Linked DNA regions of Drosophila melanogaster. The protein of the gene in region 1 interacts with the protein of each later gene in a pairwise test. Each region holds a gene or a part of one and is shown in the gene's direction. Other genes may lie near its edges.

Region 1 (7,768 bases):
AAATCCTCAGCACGGGATTTGGCTGCTGAATCCGAAGAATCTGATTCCGATTCTGGTGCGGATTCTGCTGCTGATTTCGATTTGGCTTCTCGAGGAAATTCGCTTAAATTTTTAACAAGACAAATACGCAAAGCACACGCCCCTCCCCCGTCTATTTTCCATCTCTCCCGGTTTTACCGCTTCTGGGAAACAATCATGGAGAAAGGGAGAGAGAGAAAGAGAGAGAGCAGGGAAAACTTTTCTAATTTTGCACAACTGGAAAATGTGGCCGTGGGCGTTCAAAGAGAAATGGCAACAGAAAATCGAAATAAAAATCATCATCATCGGGAGGGAGCCAAGAAAAAGTTGAAGATGATGATGGTTTTTTCCACATTGTTTTTCCCGCTTTTTCTCCGGCGCTCAAATGGAAAAGTAGAAAAACCTTTTATTCCACAATGTTTGCTTAGTCCTTTGCCAATTGAACTTTTTCGCACAGCCAATCGAAGGGGTAGTGGTACTCAGCCAAATACAATACTTAGACAAGTTAATTTAATTTTTTATTTAAAATTCAATCTGCGAACTAAAACAAAAAGTGCACAGCAAGTGGGGAAAGAATTCAGGTCAGAGGTCAGAGTAGGTAGAAAAGGCAACAAAAAGTTTCATGTGAAAAAACAAGTTGAACAAATTCTGTGAGGAAAATAATAGAAAAAAGTGCGTCACATCTTTTGAGCTTAGCGAGAAGCGCACTCCCAGAGCTTCCTCCTCTTTTTCCATTCTCAACTCAATATTTCCTTTACATTTACAACATCGTCATCATCGGTTTTCCCGTCGGGAGTTGTTGGCCATGTAAGAAGTTCAGTGTAAAGGCAAATAGCGAAGCCCAGAGAAAACTGGGCGGCAGGATCCACTAAGAATCGGAGGGGAAAGAGGACCAGAAATATCCTGGTCCTGCGGTCCTTGGCCTGCTTAATTATTCAATAATTTCTAAAAGCATTTGGCCACATGCGACGTCATCAGCCGTCATCCTTTCATCCTTTTACGGCATGTGACAGGACCGCCCCTCTTCTTCCGTGCGCCCCCGTAATCAGTTGAACACATATACCCCCAACACACACTAAAACATCTGCATTTATGTAAGCCTCCCTCCCTGGACCCCTCCTCTTTGTCCATCTTAGTACACAGAGCGATTTGGGTGCCCTTTAAATACTTTCTTATTATTTAAAGATATTTCGAAACCACCCAATTTAGTAGTCAGTGTTGATTGATAATTTATCAGGAACGCCTCGTCTTCCATGATTCTCCTAGCAGAATTAAGTTTAGTTAGTATGTAAAGATGGACCTTACTTGGGAATTATTTCTCCAAGTGATCCCCATTTTTCACCCCCACATAGGTGACATTGTAAGGACTTTTCGGTTCATTTGCTTTTCCTGGCTGGATTTCCATTTGTGATTGTGGGTGTGGTTTGCAGAGTTGCATTTATCATTAGTCGTAGCTTAGCTTTTGTTTTCCTGCATTCGAGTGGACGAGGAGGGGGGGCATATCTAGGGAACGAACCCTGGCGGCCATTGGGGATTTTGCACTTGGGCATGTTTGATGTGGAAACTTTAGATTAAAATATTTTCCTATGCACACACACGAGGTGAAACAATAGCGACGAGGGTCACCAAAGTGCCGTAGATTATTGAATGAGCGCTCCCAGTCTCCCTCCAGTGTAAGCTTCATCTTTATGTACGAGTAGTAGCGTGCTTCTTTCTACATAAAACGTTCACCCCTTAACCCTTTTCAAGCTCCCAACGTCTGCAAGAATGATGATAAAGATAAAGCTCAGAAAGGGAGAAAGAGCAAGAGCAGCGCTTCTCCGTGGGCGGATTGAGCGCATAATGATGTTTATGTGTTGCCAGAAACATAAAAGCATTAATTTAGTCATTATCTTCTTAAGATACGGCGCCAGCAGAGGCAGTGGAGTATCAGAATCCCCTGAACGCGAGAAGAGAGCGTCAGGCTTTTTGCCACCCATAATTTCCATCAGCATTTTTATGCTACCCCTGCTACTCACTCTGAGTGAAAGCGAGAGAGCTTCTGTTGCCATATCCTGCGCACCCGCTTCCCTTCTCTATCGCTCCCTCGACAGCTATCTCTTTCTGTGGGGGCCGCGGGGTCTGTCAGTGATGACTTTATCTGTATAAATAACTGTCAGTGGCCAAAGAAAGTAAGTAGAGAGCGCAAAAATACAAAAAAATACATGGAAGCATTGGTGTGAATTGGGTGGAAAAGGAGGGGTCTGGTGAATGGGGCATTATCTCTGTAGCGCCATCTTTATCCTGGACCTCCTGCCAGCCTTTAACCTGGAACACTGCAAGATGGGGGCCCGACACCATCAACCACCACCAGCTAGAGCGAGAGAAAGAGATACAGAGGGAAAGCAAAAAAGGGAGGGAGGATACAGAGAGAGGGAGAGGCGTCCAAAGCCAGAGAGTATTGCCAAGCAATATGGTAGCGTTGAGGGCGTGGCTTCACCCCGATTTCATTGGCCAACGTCGAAAAATGTCCGCTAAACGAGAGAGCAGATGTGAGTTTGTATCTGGCATCTGAGAGTCTGTATCTATATCTGTCGAGGAACTGGCCTAACGACTACTCAATCGACAACTTGTCGGGCGGAACGCTCTCACAACACTTTCGCAGCTCGAGCGGACAAGAAGGGTTCCCGGTGGCAGAAAACCTGTGGAAATAATAAAATATAAAATCACGACGCGATTGCAGTGCGTGTTTCTAGTGCGGTTTAGTGAACTTGGCATCGATCAAAACACACTAATCCAGTGAAAAAAACCTAGACTTAATATTCGCAACATTGCCACCATTACTGAATTAAAAAAAATTGTAAAGCGCTTAGTGCTTCAAAAGTGCCGCTTCATTAAAAAAAAATCAGTGGGGAAGAGACTTTTTCCTACTCGAAAGCTTCATAGACTTCTTCAAGATTCTCTCCTCACTGTGGACCCCTGGAGGAGGCGGTGGAGGCACCACCACCACCACTCCCAGCACCACGCCCGACATTCCGCCCTCGAAGGCCAAGTTCAAGATCACCGTCGTGAGCACGCCCAGCCCCTCCCCGCCGCCTACGCCCCCTCCGGCTGGATCTATGCTGGCACAAATGGTAGAGACAAATTCCCCGCCGGCGGGTTACACCCTCAAAAGGTCGCCCAGCGATCTCGGCGAGCAGCAGCAGCCTCCAAGGCAGATCTCGCGATCTCCTGGCAACACGGCCGCCTATCACCTGACCACCGCCATGCTCCTGAACTCGCAGCAATGCGGCTACTTGGGCCAGCGATTGCAGTCGGTCCTCCAGCAGCAGCACGCCCAACACCAGCAGTCCCAAAGTCAAACTCCGTCCTCCGATGATGGCAGCCAGTCAGGTGTCACCATTCTGGAAGAGGAGAGAAGAGGAGGAGCCGCCGCCGCGTCTCTCTTCACTATCGACAGCATTTTGGGCTCTCGCCAACAGGGTGGAGGCACCGCTCCAAGCCAAGGCAGCCACATCAGCAGCAATGGCAACCAAAATGGACTCACCTCGAATGGCATCAGTTTGGGTCTGAAAAGAAGTGGCGCCGAGTCCCCAGCCTCGCCAAATTCAAACTCCAGTTCTAGCGCAGCCGCCAGTCCCATCCGACCGCAGAGGGTTCCTGCCATGCTGCAGCATCCTGGCCTGCATCTGGGTCACTTGGCGGCTGCAGCGGCGAGCGGTTTTGCCGCCTCTCCCTCGGATTTTTTGGGTAAGTCTATCAATCCCCCTATACTGAACGCACAAGCCCCCTCAGCTGAATTTCATTATGAAGACAACTTAAGACGAAACCAGTTCAAAGGATGGTTCTTTAGATAAAGAAATTTTAACATTTTGAAATACCTTATTTCATGCATCTAAACTCTGAAATCACCTTAAGGCAGCTCACTCATGCAGTCAGGAATCACCCATTCAGCCACTCACCCACTTTTATCCTGACATCCTCATCCTCTCCCACTCAACCGAACCACACCCATTCCGAAGCGAGTCCTGAATGGCATTATTCATAATTAGGCAATGATCCGTGAAAGATGATTCCGCATTTCCTCTCCATTTTCCTTCGATTTTGCGGTGAGAGGATTTGCATTGGGCTCTAAGTCTTAGCTTGGGCCGGAAAAACCAGGGAAATCCGGGATGCTGGGGTGGCTTTAAGATGGGCTCAGGCCTTGTGTTGATTCGAGCGTGGATCTCAGGCGCAGATTTATGCAGAATACCGCTTAAATTCATTCAAAGGCTCCCCCGCAGGACATGAATATTAAAAACCTGGTCGCAACTTTTTTCCCCAGCTTGCTGCAACCGGAAACGGAAGCCACACATACGTTTACAGATGGGGTCAAAGGAATAGATCCGTTTTTGCAATATGTTATCCATATATCATTGTAATATTCTTCGTAACGATATTTACATGTTTTCCAAGTACAACATATGCTGAAGAGGGTAAATAGTTTTACATTTTACTTGAACTGATACCATTTTTGTGTCTACTGTAAGCCAAAATGGCGGCAGTTTTATTTTGCGCGGTTCGTTATGCGCATTTTTAAGGATTTACCCAGGAATATTCCACTTACACCCATTCCCGTGGCCCTCTTTTCTCCAGTTATATGATGATGATATGACTGTTATTCCAACCAGGGAATAATGAATTTTCCTTTTGTTTTCCCTACAGTGGCGTACCCCAACTTCTATCCAAACTACATGCACGCTGCTGCGGTGGCGCATGTGGCCGCTGCTCAGATGCAGGCACATGTGAGTGGAGCAGCCGCTGGATTGTCGGGTCACGGGCACCATCCGCACCACCCCCATGGGCACCCCCACCATCCACATCTGGGCGCACACCACCACGGACAGCACCACCTCAGCCATCTGGGTCATGGACCTCCGCCGAAGAGGAAGCGTCGCCATCGCACCATCTTCACGGAGGAGCAGTTGGAGCAACTGGAGGCCACCTTCGACAAAACACACTACCCAGATGTGGTGCTCCGGGAGCAACTTGCCCTCAAGGTGGATCTCAAAGAAGAACGAGTTGAGGTGAGTTTAAAGCTTCTAATTTTTAATGCCGAAGAAGGTGTAAAAAAGGGGGCAAGACTAAGTTTAAAGCATAACTTTATAGACATTTAAAGTAATTTTTTTAAGGCCGCTTTGTCACCACAAAAAAACAATCAATGCCTGGCTTTAGCTTTTGATCACTGTGTTCTTCCTAGCAGCCGCCCACACTCTGTGTTTAACATTTGGCTCTAATTTCACGCTCGTTTTAATTCCCCGCGTGAAACCAATTGAGTGCTACACCCCCGCTCCTCTACACTCCACTTAACCAGAATCAGATTCCGAATCCGAATCTCTGGCATCTGCATCGCAATCTCTATTCTCTCCAGCGAGATTCTCCCTCTGAGAACTTCTACTTGTTTATTTAGTTGTCAGCGGCGTACATTTTGAGGGGCTTCTTCGCCGGCGAAAGCAAAACAATGCCAATCCCAATGATTCACTTAATTTGGGTAATGGGACTCGGGATACAACCGCATGTTTAAACGGATGGTGAGGGTTATTTGCTCGTCGGTGGTTGCCACTGCTGAATCGTATCATTGGTAATGTAAATATGCAGGGATTCCGCCTTCTGCGCCCTTGTAAATCCCACCCCGGGGGATGAACCATCCCTTTAACATCGGCAATTGTGATTCAAAGTCCATTAGTGTCGAGGAAACCCAACAACAAACAAACAAATTGAGAGGTCACCAAGGAAGAAAGTGACGACAAAAGTTGACAATTTAATTTGTTCACATTTTTGGTGCATTGATGGGTGGCTATTTCGCGTCTTTGATGAGGATTATCCACGCTTTCCGGGCTACGGGCCCCGGGTTCCGGGCCCCCTTAGTTTTCGTTTCCCTGGCAATATGTTTGTCAACCGGTCAAATGTTTAATCTAACCCATCCAACCCCATCTCACCCTCACCTTTCGCAGCGCAGGAAGGCGGACAAGTGCGACATTTGTTGACACTCGAAGGGTTTGGGCTTATGTTTAGCCGTGAGCCTAAGACAACTTACACATTAACATTACTAACCATTTAGGATAATGAGAGGCGTGGCGTTACTCAACCCGCAGGCGAATTGACGCCCGCTTTTTGATTAGGCGACAAATTTAACCCGCGGCGAGCATTGGAATCCAAAGCGGATTAGAATGCAGGTTGTAAGTTGTAAGTTGCGAGGTTGTTAGGCGGGAGGAGTTCTACAATAGGATAAGCAAATGAAAAGCCGAGGTGGGGAAGATTTTCCAGCTCTTCAACTAATTGGAATTCAGCGGACTCGAATCTGCTGGCTCACGGGGGCGACTAATTAACATACAACACACAAAAAGAGACTTCAAACTTGTCTCTGACAAGCAAAGTGGATGAGGAAAGAGACGGCAGCAATCGCAATCCCAATCCCCAAGCAAATCTTGTGCTCAGTCATCGCTCGTCATTGACTTAAGCAGCATAATCAACTTCAGGTCTGGCTTCCAACTCGGAACCCCGGCTTTTGTGACTGCTACTGTTTAGCATATTTGCATGCCAAGAGTTGCCACTCGAGGCCTCCGAGCCCCCCGATTTCGGGACCGTCTCTCTAAGACCCCAGCCGCTCCATAAGTGGCAATAATTATTGAAAATCTTGCCTAAGACAAACAGCAGCAATAACAAAAGAGAAAACAAATGAAAAAAGCGAACAAATTCGAAGCCTACACATCCGATGCTCTAACGGAAAAGAGTCCGTTCGGTCGATGATCAATTGGGTACCAAAGGCTACCCATTTACACACCAAAAGCCAAACATGGCAACTAAGTTACGTCTATTAGTTAGGCTTGGATATAGTCTAGATATAGCTAAGTGCATACCAAAAGTACCAGAAAACAAACACCAGAGCTCCGGACCAACGTCTCGTAACTATTCAGTTCCCATCCTGGGATCGTTCGGCATTTAAATGATCTGCTTATTTTGACTTCATAATTTACAATTATTATTTTTATTTAGCCACTCGAGGCGAGGGTCGGCCGGCTTGGGATCGAGCCGGATTGGATCGGATTGGTTTGTATGGGATTGGAACGCCAAACAGTAGCTCTACCTGTAGAGCAAACAAGCCCGTTCTCTTTGTCCGCCTGCCTCTCTTTTTTCGCCTTGGCTTCTGTGGTGCGTGCAAGTCAAATACGCCTAATCCCGCAGCTCAAGTGATCGAGGTGATTTCGTTCTCCGATCAGCCAGATATGGAGGGATATATGTAGCTTGGGATGTAGAGGAGGAATGGCTGGGCTGGAGGGCATTTCAAATATTTGTCTTCGGTCGTCGCCAAGAAATTAGTAATCATCAGCTTGGCATAATTTGTGCTCCTCTCTCCTTTCGATCGCTCAACTCCACAAATATTGATGTTACCCCTTCTCAGACTTATAGAGAGAGTGGAGAACCGAGAAGAATGTGCCCACTCATCACTCCCATCACTCCATTGTGAACTGATCTCTGTTGTGTCTGCTGTCTGCTGTTTTCTCTCACTGTCGTTTTGTTTTGGCCAGGAATTGAAAATTGAAAAGGGCTTGTCACCCTACTGCCTCCTTTCTTTCGAGGATCATCCGGAATCTCAAGCGTTGCCGCTTTGAAGTTGCACAATTGAGAGGCCTCAGCCTCAAAAGGGATCGGGTTTTTTTCTACTTCGGGCCCACCTGCGTTGGCAATTAACTAAAATATGGCTTCTGTATTATAACTATTATTGTTATTG
Region 2 (6,956 bases), on another chromosome or scaffold:
AAATTCCAAAGCAGCAAGCCTATACATGAACTTTAAGTGTAATATGTTTTAAGCAATAAAATACGTATTTATTTTTCCAGATGTCTGGAGCTCGGCTTGTAAAAAGAATTTAAGATAAAAGTAAGGCCTAGGGGATTTTATTTCCGGCATCTTGAATTGTTCGATATACTAGAAATACTCTTGAGAAAAGCTTGTTGATAACAGTGGGGCCTTATCAGTTCAGCTTGGACTTGTTCCTAGAATTCGGGAGTACAGTTTTGAGGCTTAATAAATAGAAGATTAAATGAACTTAGTTCTGAAAAGATGCCACGCAAAAGCACACCAGCATTCAAAGGACGGTCCGCGGAGGTTTACAAAAGTTTATCCGAACCGAAGGCTACAATTCCGAATTCTGGAGCAAAAGATACGTCCCAAGTATGTCTTAATTCCGAGGACTTCAAGTTGTCGTGGAGCCAAAGATTGTGGTTTAATACGCTGTATGTTATTCTTGAGCTAAGATTGCCTTCGTCCAGATGAAATACAGTTTCAAGTTTGTCTTATTTTAGATCCTTTTGTTGCTGCGGACAACCGATAAATAAAAATGTTAGTGATAATTTGGATGAGTAATGCAAATTCTAAAGACTTCAATAATTTGATTAAATGTATGCACATATGTAGAATATTATTAATAAAATAAATAAGTAAAGTACAATAACTGCTCTTGACTCAGCTAATCATTCTTATCTGTATTGACATTATTGCACAGCACACGACAAAATTGTCAATTGCATATTTATTTAGATATGTAATTGTATTAGCTCATCTAGTTTTAACCTGGATTATCATTAGTTAATTATAATAAAATCTTGGGCGATTGAAGGAAACAAGATTTAAAAGTCCAGTACTTAATACTGCGCTTTCCTCCTTCCTTGAACATGATTTCAATTGACAATCGAATTTACTCTCGCTTTCAACAAATTAAGTTGCTTGACTTGGTTGGCGCTCAAAAGCAATGCAAACAAGATACAAAGCTACGACAAAGAGCTTTTGCCAGCAACAATGTTGCGCAACAGCAGTCGCAAGAGTAGTGAAACGCAAGACTCGGTTTCAGTTCGTGACTACCAACCAAACGAAGATGCAGTACAATCAGCAGCCGGCGGGAGCGCCGGGCTATCCCCACCAGATGCCCCCACCGAGCTATGAGCAGGTGGTGCACGTGCAGGCGCCAGTTCGGGTGGTTCACCACACGACAGCACCTCCGCCCGTGGTGATCATACAACGTGGGTTTTTTTCTCAATGTGACAGACATAAGATTAACATTGACAATGACTTGCAGATCAAGCTGTATTGCCGGTGGGTCCGGATCCCACCTTCATCACCTGCCCGCATTGCCATGTCCAGAAACTGACCCGCGTGGAGTACTCGCCCAGTGTGAAAACTCACTGCATGGCCGCCATTCTATGCATCGTTGGGTAAGATTTGCAGATTCTCACCAGCCCCGTGCTACCATCTTATCTAATCTCTGGTGGAAAATCACAAACAGCCTCTGGTGTTGTGCCTGCCTGCCTTACTGCGCCACCAGCTGCATGAACGCCAATCACTTTTGCGGCAATTGCAATAAGTTCGTCGGCGTCTACAACAGCGATTAGTAATACGGAGTAAACAAAACCAAACGAACCCAACCAAATCGAACCGATCAACGCTCACAACCTCAACACACCCACACACAAAATCATCCACGAATGCGAACATTTTTGGTCAGGTGTCCACAGACCGACAGCTGTACGATGAAATTTCCCCAATGGGGTAAACAATCGGGCCGCCAAGCTTTTGGCTTTACTTGATAAGAATACGCGATACGCGAGACACATTTTTTTTTCCAACGGCGCTCCCTTGAGTCATTTTCCAGCGATTCACACACCCAGTTGGGCCAAAATATCATGGATTCCGTCTATCCAGCTGCACCCTTGGAGGCGCCCAAGGGATCCGTCGAGCTGCAGGCGACACCCGAGCAACAACACCTTCTGCCACCGGCTCCACCCAGTTACGACCAGGCCACAACCACTCCGGCTGAAACCACGGGACCAGCTCCAGTTCCAGCGAGCACATCCACCACACAGCACACGGTCGTCGTGGTGCCCGGTTCACCGTACGGCCCGGAGCCCATGGACGTGCAGTGCCCGTACTGCCACAATTACGCCCGGACACGGGTCTCCTTCAAGCCCAACTCGCGCACCCATCTGATAGCCTTGATATTATGCCTGTTCCAGTGAGTACCCGAAATAGATAACACTGTGTGTGGGCCAGTAGCCCACTTTGGGCACTCGAAACAGAAAAAGCTCAATTTATTCGGAATGAGAATAGCATAGAATAGATAAATTTCATTCCTTACCAGAGAGCACTCTTTTGTATTTATATATGTATTTTTGATTTCATTTCATATCTATGATATATTTTTAGTAGCTTAGCATCAGAAACAAAGGCTATATATTACATCAAATGATAGTCTTAGCCAGCAATAATCGCACAGAATAGACCTTGGCTATTAGGTGTATAATCCACTTGTCGGTGACTCACTTCCTTTTCTTTTACTTCCCTACAGGTTGTACTGCTGTGTGTGTCTGCCGTACTGCATTTCCAGTTGCATGAACACCAATCACTACTGTGGCATGTGCGATCGTTATTTGGGCACCTACGATCGCAAATGAGCAACCAAAAATGTTTCGGGGGCGACCTGTTCATGTGTACATATTTTCTTCAAGTAATTAGTTAATAAATGGACTGCAGCACGCAAACTGAACTAAAGCGAAGTATTTCGTCATTACAAGTGACGCTTTAAGAGCTTTAAAGTGGCATAGAATTACTATTTTGTGTTAGCGAAATTAACCCAGTTTTCAAATAAGTATAATATTATTGATGACCTAAATATTTAATTTTAAATTTGCTCTTAAAAACCAAAGTAAACTGGTTTTTTAACTTCAATTATTAGGCCATTCTTGGTTAAGTTATTCAGTAATTTTTTCGATTTAATTGCTGAAAGCTTTTTTGCTTAATGTTAAATTATACTCTGCTGACTATTACGCCCTTGGAATCCTATATATCAGCTTTATTTGCCAAAAGCCTAACTAATTACTGACTATGCTGAAGTGGCTATCTGTATCTTTATCGGACATCCTATTCCCGTACCTGAGATAAGTTCGATAAACAATGAAGATCATTGTGTGCACTAGATAAAGCTCGGTAAACAGTATTCGAGAGATACTTTCGGTTTTGCAACAGCCCCAAAACTGATTGCTCAACCGGATGGGAGCTTTTCCAAGCTCGCTCCGATCTGAGCCGAAAAAAAACTGAAACTGAATCTCTACCTGGATCCAAATTCGCTGGCAGTTGCGAGCGGCGTTCGAAGTGCAAAAGACGCCGTCTAGTTGTAAATACGCAAAGTAAACAACTTTTTTTTTTCGCTTAGCGAGAACCAGAATCTCTTAGTCATTTTAATAAGTCGAAACCATACCCGAACTTCGCACTAGAGCAAGGGTTTTATAGTGCGTTAACCATGGATCAGAAGCGAGCCATGCTTTATCCGCAAGTGGATTTCAACGCCCCGACGGCCCCCTCGCCGACGCCAACGAGGGAGTTGGGCAATCCCATCGCCAACGGCCTGCCCATCGAGGCTCCTCCGTCGTACGATGTGGCGGTGTCTGTTCCGGTGGCTCCAGCGGTTTCCGCACCAGCAATCGCCCCAGCACGACCACCGCCAGTGGTTGTCGTGGAGCAGCCAGCCCCACAACCACCCACAGTGGTTCCAACAGGTGTGTAGTTTGCACATAGTTATAGTTCGGCTGTGAAGCTCTACTGACGTCACTCCCTGCTGTTGCAGATACTCTACACTTGGGTCCAAATCGAAGTAGGGTTCTCTGCCCAGCCTGTGGAGCCAACAAAACTACGAGGATGACACACACGGCTAACTCCAGGACCCATATGGTGGCAGGTCTCCTCTGTTTGGTCGGGTAAGTTGAGTTTCTTATAAAAAGGAGTAGAGTTTATCTGCTTATTGATTTATCTTAAATTTATATATTTCATGTCTCATCCTCTTTAAAGATTCTGCTGCTGTGCCTGTTTTGTTCCCTATTGCATGAACAGTTGCCGCACTGGAAACCACTATTGTCGCAAGTGTAACACCTTCCTGGGAGCCTACAATCCAAAGGGGATGAACCGATGATAAGACTGCCAAGATAAAACGTGATCTGGGGGCTAGACAGACAGAACAGATACAAGTTATAAGTAAACACAACGCAGCTGATGCTTGCCAGCGGCTAAATTAAGGTTGTATGTACATAGGCCATTGGCTAGAGCGCAAGGCGTCAAAAAGAATCATCATTGGTCATTTAAGCATATGTGAGGTAGCTTAAAAACAATTTAATAAGTTTCCCAAATTCTTCTTTACCCATAAGCACCACTATAGTAAACATAAGCAAAACCGCTTACCTTCCCATTGTTGCTGAAGCAGCTGGCCTTTGGCTGGCTAGAAAAATAAAAGCGTGGGCGTAAGCTTCACAATAAAATGCAAACACAAAACAATGACAAGCCACATTTCAAAATAAACGTAGTTTGGCGCCCAATCGAAAAGTGAGTTGCCAGATCAGCACCATACGCTAGCCAACACTGGCTGCGCGCTACTATCGAAATATCGATAGCCTGGCATTGAGCACTTCTACGATATGGCAATGTTGCCGCAGCCAAAAAGACAATTGCAGAAAGTTTTTTTCACAACAAAAAGCCACCGAAAACGCTCCAATTAAGCAACAAATGCGTGCCAAAAGCGCAGCGAATCTCCACTGAGGCCACCGTGTGTGCGTGAGCGTGGCAAAGGTGCGAGCAGAGCAACCAAACATCACAGGAACACGGCCAGCAGCAGCAGCGGATCAGCAGAGGGGCGGGCAGAGGCAGAGGCGGTGGCAGAGGGAAAAGTCGGGCATTTTCATTGGATTCGTTTTGGTCCGATTCGATTGGATTGCGGTTACTCCAGCGGCGCCCAGGCGTTCCTCCTCTCCTCCTGTATTATGGACAAGAAATCCTCGCCGGTGCGACGACAAAAGCGGCAGGCGAAGGTGATCGAGGAGAACTTCTGGGACTGCAGCGTCTGCACATATAGAAACTCGGCGGAGGCCTTCAAGTGTCGCATGTGCGACGTGCGGAAAGGTAAGTGACCCCGATTTTGCTTCGTTTTCGCTTCCGAGTTCCAAGATTGAGCAGATTGCCAGCCATGTTCCGATTTTCGCTTTCTTGATCATGTGTCATGGATCGGTTTGTTTATCCTTCTACAAGGATACACACACATCGGTATTAACAATATTGGAATATATCTGGTTGAACTGTAGATAGTAATAGTCAAAAAAAGACTGTTGACTGTTGATTAGATGGCCAACGATGGTATCGATTTGCTTACGTAGAATAAATAAATTCACACTGCGCAGAAACCGGGAATACTTCTCGAAACGATAAACATGCTAATTGAAACAATTTTAAACTATTTATATACTATTTTTGGTGCGCTCAATAAGACTATACACCCTTGTTTTTTAGGAACCTCCACGCGAAAGCCACGCCTGAACTCAGCGCTAGTCGCCCAGCAGGCCGCCACTTTGCCAGGAGCCAGTGTCAACATGCCCAACGGGAAGTCCGCCTCCGGATCACGGCATGGCAGTGGGCACGACCGGCAGAGGCACAAGCGGTATCCGGCACGGTTGAAAAACGTGGACCGATCGACGGCACAGACGCGAGAGGTGACGGTCAACTCGGTGACCGTGTTCATCACAGAGTACAAGGCCAAGCCGGTGAGCAGCCGACGCGAATCCAGTGAGCAGAGCTTCAGCGAGAGCAACGACAGCCGGAGTTAGAGGAGGGATACAAGGCCTCCTCGCCCCCAGCTCCCCAATATTCTACGCCACGGTTCCCGCTCCCCTGTTACAAGTTGTAAATTCTAAGTGTTAGGCCCCTGGCGATAACAATTGTAAATCGAAATCCATTTAAGTTACCAAGTATTAGGCCACGTTTAAAGCCCCGAAAGCCAAGCCCCCACTAGTTCATGACTTCCAGCCCAGGCCAAGATGGCAAAGCAAAGCGAAGCGACGGCGAGTCGATTGCATTTACACGACGCTCTCCAAATCCCATTTTAAAATGCGCTAGACCCTGTAAATAGCGATGCATGAGTTCCCTGAATATCTCTGTCTCGTATCGTAATTTTAGTTGTAATTTAATTCTGCTACTCTAATTCCTAATTTATTGATGCAAAGGTAACTATGTATAACCGCCGTGTACATGTTCAACAAAGATATCATTTGTTTTGTAAGTGTCGAATTAAAATATGGTTTAACTAAGTGCAAGTTAATCTCAATGTTCCACTAGCAGCGCCCATCCCCCATGGTTTGTGTAACTATTATAAACTGCCCTTTTTTTTTTGACTAGAAAATGCTGCTTGACAACGAAGTGTAGCGAGAAGAGAGCCACGTAGCTTGGTTGTAGACAATTTGCTAATTTTAATTTGTTTGTATACAAGACTGATTAAGCGTTACCAACCAGATATAGAGAGGTCCGCACACGCACCCAGCCCGAATCCGATTTTCCTTTTGGTTTACACCCGAGATAGCCTCACAGCCAGCAAACAATAGACGAATACTCGAACTCGCAAAAAGAGAATTTTGTACTTAGCAGAGCTTAAACGCTCTTCCACCATAGCAATAATTACTTAGCAAACAATGAAAAACATGAATTTTGATATGAACGATTGTATTTAATATTGGATAACAGATATAATGGTTTATAAAGTGCTTGATATTTGTATTTTGAGATAGATTATTTAGCCACACATGAACACTAACACACACCCACTCGAAACTGCCGACTGTAGTCAAGAAACAACTTCCAATAGACAAACTTCAATTTGGATTATCGTAAACATGTACAATTAATATGAACAG
Region 3 (8,834 bases), about 19 Mb from region 1:
CCGAGCATATTTCCTATTTAAATGCAACCGAATAGCCATTTGATTGCGAGTTACGTGAGGATTTTTCAAGAGTGGGACCAACTGGGTAATCTTCAATAGCGGCTTAAAAACAGAACTATATTTATTTATTGGCAATAGATCTTCAGACTTTCTTGTATTGGTGAAAATACTCGTATACTGTCAGTAGGAAATGAAAAAAAAGTAACAATGAAACTGCATAATCCCTGATATTGAAATTGGCGACAATTTAGTAACATTTATGATGCATCATGTCAATACTTACAATACTTACAAGGGCAGAGTTTGCATAATTATTTAAAAAAAATTATGTTATAATGACATACATTCTTACCATAGATTAAGACCAAGCGTTTTCTTTGAACATCTTTTTTTTCTATTAATAGCTTTGAACGATTCAGGTGATATCGAGCTATAATTGCAGTTTAATGCTACAATTTTTTAAATCATCGCATTGCCTTTTGATCAGATTGATTAAACTAGATAAGTCTTGGCAGACTTTCAATTTGTAGCTTTAAGTCATTACGTAAAGGAAGTCTGCATCAATTTGTAAAAATAAGCAACTTTAATTTTAGCTTGAGCTGAATTGAATTCGTTATTCAATTATCCTTAAACAGGAACTACAAGTACGATTTTTTCATCCTTGAAGGATTAGCAAAAAACAAAAATCCAATACAACAAAGGTTGCGTAAGGATGTAGCCACTTGAGCGCTGCTCCCAAAAACAAAGGACCCGCAAGGATGTTCAAGTTTGTGTTGCTTGTATCAGAAGTTAATTTACCGAGAATCAAACTTAAATGCGGAAAGAGGATCTGAGGCAATGTGCCGCCAATATTCACCCCTGTTGCGAGGTCGAGCGCGACCTATGGCTTATGTAACCTGATCGGTGACACACTTCAGCTTTGATTCCAGGGAATTATGCTAACACAAAAAAGGAGGCAAGGAGACGTTCATGTAGACAGCGCAGAAGGATTTGCCAGACAAACTGACACAAAATGTTGTAATTGCCCCAAGGAAAAGCACCCTCCTTCAGCTTAAACCGCAAAGTGGCTGGCAATTCGATGCCCCAGACGTAGTAGCATTTTTATTATTATAAAAATTAGGCTCAGTCCGTCGGACGGGGCACGTGCAACAATGGGAAATTAGGCAGACTAAATGATGGCTCAAAAATATGATCTGCCCTCATAGTTGGCCATGGGAATCTCTGCTCGCAAATCCGCTGATTTCCACCTAGCGAGAAAAATCAATAAAAAACGCAAGGTAGACACGCCACCGAGCAGACTCAAAAAGAACTGAACAAAATATATGTCCTCACAAAGGCCCTTTGGCACGTTCATGTCAGCGGGTTAACAATGGATGACACCGAAGAGTAGTCCATGGAGGAGGAGGTGGATGTGGAGGCGGAGCAGCCAGTTAAGAGCTTTCGGCCAGGTGAGAGAAGTGCTCATCTCTGGCTGGGATACCTTTTTCCAGCTTTCCACTTCTATGGAGCTCTAAACTATATGTAACTATAGTCTCGAGATATTTTATTCTATTAATATTCTTTCTCTAAGATAAATATCAGTTTTTATTTCTCATATATGTAATAATAAATATATTTATAATAAATAATAAATAATAATAATAAATATATTTATTATTAAGGTATACAACCCTTAAATTAAAATTTAATTTAGATGGGATTTCATAAAATAGATTTATAGAAAATGAAAAGAATATTATAAAATAGATATTAAAAGAAAAACGTTGTCTTTTTAGGAACTATGAATCTTATATCTTTTTAATTTAATAATTTTAAAATTGGTAGAGCACTTCTGAAATTAGGTTATCACTTTTAAGTACTATTATTCTAATATCTTTTAAATACAATTAAATATTTTTATTCGTTAACACAAACCCCATAACCCCCCAATGTCCTTAGAGAAGCTGAGATATTTTTGCCCAGGAACAGGGCAGCACATCCCCAAGCAGACCCAACCATCACCGCGATCACTCGAATGCCATCCTAATGCGCCCATTTTAGGGCTTTAACCTAATAATGACGTTCGACTTAGTTTGCGTGACTTATTTTATTAATAAAACGAGCAAATTTGTCTTGCTTTTTGGTCGCATCGTCGTCATATGCTTTTTCTCTCTCGGCGATGTCTCGTTATTGTCCTTCCTTCCTGCTCTGTTTGTGGAGACCCCCCCCCCCCATATTTCCCTCTCTCTGAAGGAATTAAGGACTTTCCGCTGTGAGGAAAGACTGATTCTCAAAGCAACAGGACGAAACAGGACGAGTATAGTTGCGAAAGCAACCCCTCGGCGAGCTCTTCGCCGATTGGTGGCTTGCTGGAAAGGAGGCACGCCCCCTTTTTCGATGGTGTCACTTGGTTGGGTGCGGAGGGGGCCGGGTGTCCTTGGTGGGTGGTGTACGGCTATGTGGGGCTCTGATTCAATTAACCGCGCGGGGAAAAAATATCTGAATGCAAAGCAGGCGAATGCTTGGCCCCAACCCAGCGGGTACAGTTGCGCTGGCTCCACCTAGCAATTATCCTGTCACAGCAGCAGAATCGATTGTTTAATTCAATTATAATAATTGTGGCATTTAATGCACGCACATCATCAGCCAGACAGCCAACAATGGCGGCCGTGACACGTTAATTATGACAAGTGGGTGCCAAATGGGCGGCTGGGGACGTGGCAGGATGTGCCTGCCTCGCAAAATGGCGGCAGAGCAAGGACGCATAGTTGTGCAACTTATTTGCGGCTAACGGGGGTCAATTAAACTAAGGTTTTTCCGCACTAATCGCATGTCCAGTGGATGCCAGCAGAGAGATGGGTGCTCAAAATCCTGCCAGAGCAGGACAACCCTATGCGCATGCAAATCGAGGGGTGTGTTCATGTGCCCGCTTACGGGGATTCCCCGAATATTGCCGCTCTAAGCGGGCACCGCAAAGCGGGCCAACTGCAGCCGGATTGAGGAGGGGGTGGCACTGCCTGCGCTCGCATTTTTTCCCCCCCTTCGATTTTCCCCTTTTCGCAGGATGCAGGACCATATCGCCGGCTCGCTCGCACATGTCTGCTGGCAGCTCGTTTAGAGCAATTTGCTGGTTGATGTGCGGTGATTGCCGCAAACTCAACGCGACCGTCAACGAGCAAACAACATAAGCGCGCGCGCGGTCCAAGGACACGTATATATCCCGGCTGGCTGGCACATCTCCTGGCTCCGGTCTCCATCACTGCTCCTCGTGCTCCTCCTGCTCGGCCATCCTCCAGCGCAATGGCAATGCTTAATGAGGCCAGCTTGAGTCCTGCGGACGCACATGCTCATGCCAACGCCACCACGCCCACGCACAGCAAGGCGGCGGCGATGGCCAGTGCCACCACAATGCTGACCACAAAAACGCCGTTTTCCATCGAGCACATATTGTTTCAAAACTTAAATAGTGCCAGCAATAACAATAATAGTAGTGATACCAACGGCATCGCCGCAAACACCAACAACTACGCGCCAAAGAGCAGCAGAAACGCGGTGAAAAGTGCCAGAAGCGCATTTGCCCACGACAATAATCCGCACAAACATCCGTCGCAACATTCGCATCCGCCGCAGTCACATCCGCCGGCGTCCGCATCCGCATCCGCGACGGCTACTGCCCGCAGCAACCAGGCTGCGTCGGGTTACGCTGGCGAGGATTACGGCAAGTCCATGCACAGCACTCCACGGTTGGTTTCCGAATTCCAAGGCCTAATACTACTGCAGTGAAATTTTAGTTTAAAAAACTTTAATTTTAAGCCAATATAATTGCATAGAAAAGTGAAAAAAAGTAATTAAAATAAAAAAAAAATAAATAAAAAATAAGATAATATTAACAAAGTGAATTTATAAAAGAATAAGAAGTAAACATGAAACATCAAATACGATAGATAGTCACACCTTCTTGAAGACAAATATTTTGGAATAGCATACACCTTTAAAATCTTACTTTGGATTATGTTCTTTTAAATTATAGAATATTTTTTGTAAGAAAAATGATATTTTGGAAACATAGAAATCAGGCTTACCATAAAGCTTAATGTATCTGGGAATATATATTTGTATTTAAGCATATTAGCATAAAAATCACTATTGGACATAAAGAGAATAGTTTAACATCGAAATACCAATAGACCCCTAATTGAACCACTTGCTTCGTAGGTCCAACCACCACTCGCGACACGGAACTTCCCACTACAACGGAGATCAGATTTCGCAGCAGTTGGGATCTGGAGCAGCACAACATCCGCCGGTGCCCACGACTCAACCTCAACCTCCGCCTCCGCCGCCCCTGAATGGAGGTAGTGGTGCATCCAATGGAGTACTCTATCCGAATGCACCCTACACCGATCACGGATTTCTTCAAATGACCCTCGGATATCTCTCGCCGTCGTCGGGCACCTACAAGTCCGTGGATCCCTATTTTCTATCACAAGGTGAGTTAATGCTCGATATTACAGAGATATCCTCCTAGATGATTCTGATTTGTACTGGTACATACAAACATGTTGGTAATAAGTTAAAGTCGAACTCATAGAAATTAAAAGTCAATTCTAGCTAGAGTTTAGCTAATCGAAAATGAAGTTGGACATATTCTCATTAAAAAGCCAGCACAACATTTAATTTCACATTTAGAACTTTTTCAAAATGAAACCCAAATTAGTAGGACAACTGATGTTGAAGTGCAGTTTTTTGTTGCCACATAGCTTCATTTAGGGGCACTAAAACTCGAAATATTCGGTGTAAATGGCCATCAACACCGAAAGTTTTCATTTGTTCCAACTATAACGAAGTTAACCAAATTTTGCATCCTTTGCCCTTTCAGCCAGCCTGTTCGGGGGAGCGCCCTTCTTCGGAGCGCCTGGCTGTGTGCCGGAACTGGCCCTCGGACTGGGAATGGGCGTGAATGCCCTGCGCCACTGCCGCCGGAGGAAGGCTCGCACGGTGTTCAGTGATCCGCAGCTGTCCGGTCTGGAAAAGCGGTTCGAGGGACAGCGATACCTGTCCACGCCGGAGCGTGTGGAGCTGGCCACCGCCTTGGGACTCAGCGAGACGCAGGTGAAGACCTGGTTCCAGAACCGCCGCATGAAGCACAAAAAGCAGCTGCGCCGGCGCGACAATGCCAATGGTGAGTATATTGATTTCATAATCACAAATTTATTATGAGCAAATTAAATATTACGAAATTTATAATACTCAAATCAAGTTATTTAATATTCAAACCTTTTCTGGGCTGTTAAGAACAACTAGAGCGAAAAAGAGTTGCTCAAGTTTTCCAGCTTTTAGACAATGCAATATTTGAGTTAGCAATTAAATTGTCAAAAGGCATTTCGAGCAGGAGTGGTCAGCGGTTTTCAAATTGGTCACAAAGCACCAAAAACTAGACCACTGGAGTGAGTAGTTTCTTTGAGGAACTTTTGGACTATCAATTAGACCTTTTGGCTTTTAGCCGGCTCCTTGTGATGCAAAAAGTTTTGCTCAAGTTTCAACGCAAATCAAATTAGTTCTAAATTTTGTGGAAATTTCTTTGACTCTTCCATGCCGCAGAGCCCGTCGACTTCTCACGCAGCGAACCGGGCAAGCAGCCGGGCGAGGCCACCTCCTCATCCGGGGACTCCAAGCACGGCAAACTGAATCCCGGATCTGTCGGCGGCACACCCACTCAGCCGACGAGCGAGCAGCAGCTGCAGATGTGCCTGATGCAGCAGGGTTACTCCACGGATGACTACTCCGATCTGGAGGCGGACAGTGGCGACGAGGACAACTCCAGCGACGTGGACATCGTCGGCGATGCGAAACTCTACCAGTTAACATAGACAGTTCGATCGGGATGTGGACCTGGATCCTAAAGTAGTAAAGTTTTCGGTGTTTCAGTTGGGGGAAATACAACTAAAAGAGATTTTCAAATCAAAAAATATCAGTTTCTTTTACTAAATGACTTTTCTATTAGACAAGCACAGAAGTTACAAAACAACACATATATTATCAGCGCGAGCATGGTTATACCATTTTGAAAATATCTATTATTACGATTTAGTACGAACTATAGTTCCTTATAATTGTGGAAACTTACCCATCAGTTTCACCATTGAATTAATTGATTGATTATAACAGATACCATCCAGCTACTCTAGCTGTTTTGATCTTGTCCAAAAGAAACATATTTATTTTGCTATAATTATAGTTGTATTTCCCCCCAGATACATATTTGAATTGAATCGAAAAGCCGTGTAAATACCAACGAGTTCTTGAACGAGTTTTCTAGTCATGTATTAAGTCTAATAACTAATCAAATTTAGTGATTGTATTCGAGAACTTCCATTTTAAGATACATTAGTTCCCTGCGACTTCTTATCCAGAACATAGTGCTTACAATAAACGGAACGGAGCGAATTACGCGAATGCTGGAGAAGTGTTACTGGGTGGGTGGGTGGTGTAGCTTGATGCCCGCCCCCTCGCCGGGCAATCAAATCCAATTGACAACACAAAGTAGCAACTAATATGGTTAAGCAGCGGGAATACTGATGTATGGGGTTGGCGACTGCCACGCCCTGCGCATGTCCTGCCGCCCAAGTGGGCGGGCGGAAGCGGGTGGGATTGGATTGAATCGGGGTGGATGGAAATGCACTTAACAATGGCAAAATAATTGCGGGTTTTCAGACAGCCATTTTAGTGAGACACCCATTGTCAAGTGCGGAATAGAGTGAGGAGGTAAAAGTTAAATGTTTCAAATTGATTGGTAATTACGGGTTAGCAGGAATGCTCTCGAAAAAATATTAATAGTTTACCCGATTAAGAATGAGTCTTGGAGGGAATGGAGTTCCATATGCTTATATACATGTAGATACCTTTGCAGTCATCAAAACTCATGGATCTATTTGTTGAGAGAAGTTATCATTTTTAGTTTCATACTTTGGACTGTTAAGACTTTTCTTGACGTCAACGAAGCATATTCCAATTCTATTCTGGCGATTAAATGGCATATGTACATATGCTTGTTAATAATATGTATTTTTTTATATAAATTTCGAGTGTGTATTGAGTTATGCTCAACTTGGTAAACATGCGAATTAATAATATTCGGAATAATATACAACCTAAGGTCGAAGCAATGACAAGTCGCAGTCGCTTTAGCCACTTGTATTTTCCCAGTGAATACAGAAACTAATAAGTAGTACTCTTGGGCTTATCTTGCTATTGATAAGCTCAATGTGAAATAAACTGCTAGAGACGAGCCTCCCTCGATTTTAAGAGGTTGGCAATAAAAATCACAATAAATGTTTTGATTTTAGACTCTTAGTTAGTATAACTCGTATTCTCATGGACCATTTCACATCATACTTATTGTTTAAAATGTTCTCACAGTGAAGCATTTAACGATGGCATTTTCATCGGTAAGCCTGACCACTCTCCTCCGCTCTTCATATGTGGCTCCCTCTTAGTTTTGGAGCCATATGTCTGCAGCTTATGCTCCCCATCTGGACTTGGACTCTCTTCCACTCCGCTCTCTCTTCTATATACATTTTCCGTGTGTATGCTATTTACGTGCTATCAGTTGCCGTTGAAAACAAAACAAAATGTAGGAGAAGGGATGAGAAAGCCGACCATTCTATTCACTAACTTTTATTGCCGATAACTTAAATAATAGTTCAGTTAGATCATACGAATGATAAACAAATGGAAATACTGAATTTTTATAAAACATTAAAAGAATCTTCTTATATTATATATCAAGTATATTCTTCTATAATACTTTATGATTTCTTCAACTTTAATTAATAATCTATAATAGCTTAGTTATACTCTTATTAGGAATATACATCCCTAATTTTATTTATAAATGTTTAGGTAACAGTGAATATATGTACAGTACCATATACGATCCTCATTAGGATCATCAGATATTATTATTCCTTATTTCCCATTGTTATGCTCCAAGCAACTGAACCAAGTGCATATACCCTCTGATAGGGCGTGGCCGGCAGTGACGTTTCGCTGGCTTTTCTCCACCGTCGTCGTGGACGTGGACTAAAGCCAAAATTAGTCTCTTTAGATCAGCCGTCGACCGCGGTTCGTTGTTTGTTTGCCAGAGTTTGTCGATTTGTTGTAAGTGAAAGTGCATCTCTTGGGTTCTCGGGGAAGCTCCACAAATGTTTGAGGTCAATGGCGGCGTTAAGGACACGTCTGAAAGTCATTTAGATCTCCCACTGCTATGGAAGATTAATAGAGATATACGTATACTTTTCTATAGATATTATGTTTACTTATACTCTATGCGTTCATATATACTCAGTTAATCGGGTTCTACGCGGAGACGTTCCAAAAATAAATAAGGGGGCACGTGTCGATGTATCAGATCTGCCGGCAGAAATATTATTTTGTGGTTCTATATATTTTTCCATAACACATTTGTACGATTTTTTTTTTGTAGAGCAAACAGGTTATCAGCCAGTCAAATACAAAATAACAACCAGACACCACAACCACACAAACAAAAACATGCATAATCAGAGTGACAAGTTTTTGATAGTGATTTTTTATGCAACAAGCCCCCGAAAAAACCACTAGAGACAGAACGAGGTCACCGATTTGACCTTCCGATAGGGGAGCACAACCCCCTCCCTTCTACTAAGTTCTACTAAATTGGTAATTGTTTCCACCTTAATGGATCCCCACAGGAACCGCACCATTTACAGAGCGTACTGCAACTACATACATATAACCAATAATGGCGGCCAGTAGCGGTGATTGTAAGTGAAGTAGCCTGCTTCCTGCTTCCTGCCTCCTGCTCCTCCAATGTT

What was found. Proteins that work in one complex are often made in the same cells at the same time.
Region 2: the proteins of Gsc (region 1) and CG13516 interact in a two-hybrid assay, tested with the Drosophila melanogaster proteins (one large-scale study listed by BioGRID).
Region 3: the proteins of Gsc (region 1) and bsh interact in a two-hybrid assay, tested with the Drosophila melanogaster proteins (one large-scale study listed by BioGRID).

The regions. Positions count from the first base shown.
Region 1 is NT_033779.5:589,567-597,334, reverse strand, and holds the start of Gsc (goosecoid), read left to right. Parts: upstream 1-2,649; 5' UTR 2,650-2,954; coding exon of another isoform or gene 2,955-3,128; coding exon 3,129-3,747; intron 3,748-4,701; coding exon 4,702-5,063; intron 5,064-7,768.
Region 2 is NT_033778.4:22,666,068-22,673,023, forward strand, and holds CG13516 (uncharacterized protein), read left to right. Parts: upstream 1-3,077; 5' UTR 3,078-3,532; coding exon 3,533-3,788; intron 3,789-3,856; coding exon 3,857-3,986; intron 3,987-4,077; coding exon 4,078-4,198; 3' UTR 4,199-4,555; downstream 4,556-6,956. Other genes in the region: CG30273 (uncharacterized protein), read left to right, coding at 1,115-1,259, 1,316-1,451, 1,523-1,628; CG30269 (uncharacterized protein), read left to right, coding at 1,920-2,248, 2,582-2,687; RYBP (ring and YY1 binding protein), read left to right, coding at 5,040-5,178, 5,563-5,876.
Region 3 is NT_033779.5:19,763,375-19,772,208, reverse strand, and holds bsh (brain-specific homeobox), read left to right. Parts: upstream 1-3,141; 5' UTR 3,142-3,279; coding exon 3,280-3,722; intron 3,723-4,194; coding exon 4,195-4,469; intron 4,470-4,858; coding exon 4,859-5,161; intron 5,162-5,580; coding exon 5,581-5,849; 3' UTR 5,850-6,433; downstream 6,434-8,834. Other genes in the region: fbp (fructose-1,6-bisphosphatase), read left to right, coding at 8,762-8,783. UniProt on the Drosophila melanogaster protein: DNA binding protein that function as transcriptional activator. May play a role in the determination and function of cell types in the brain.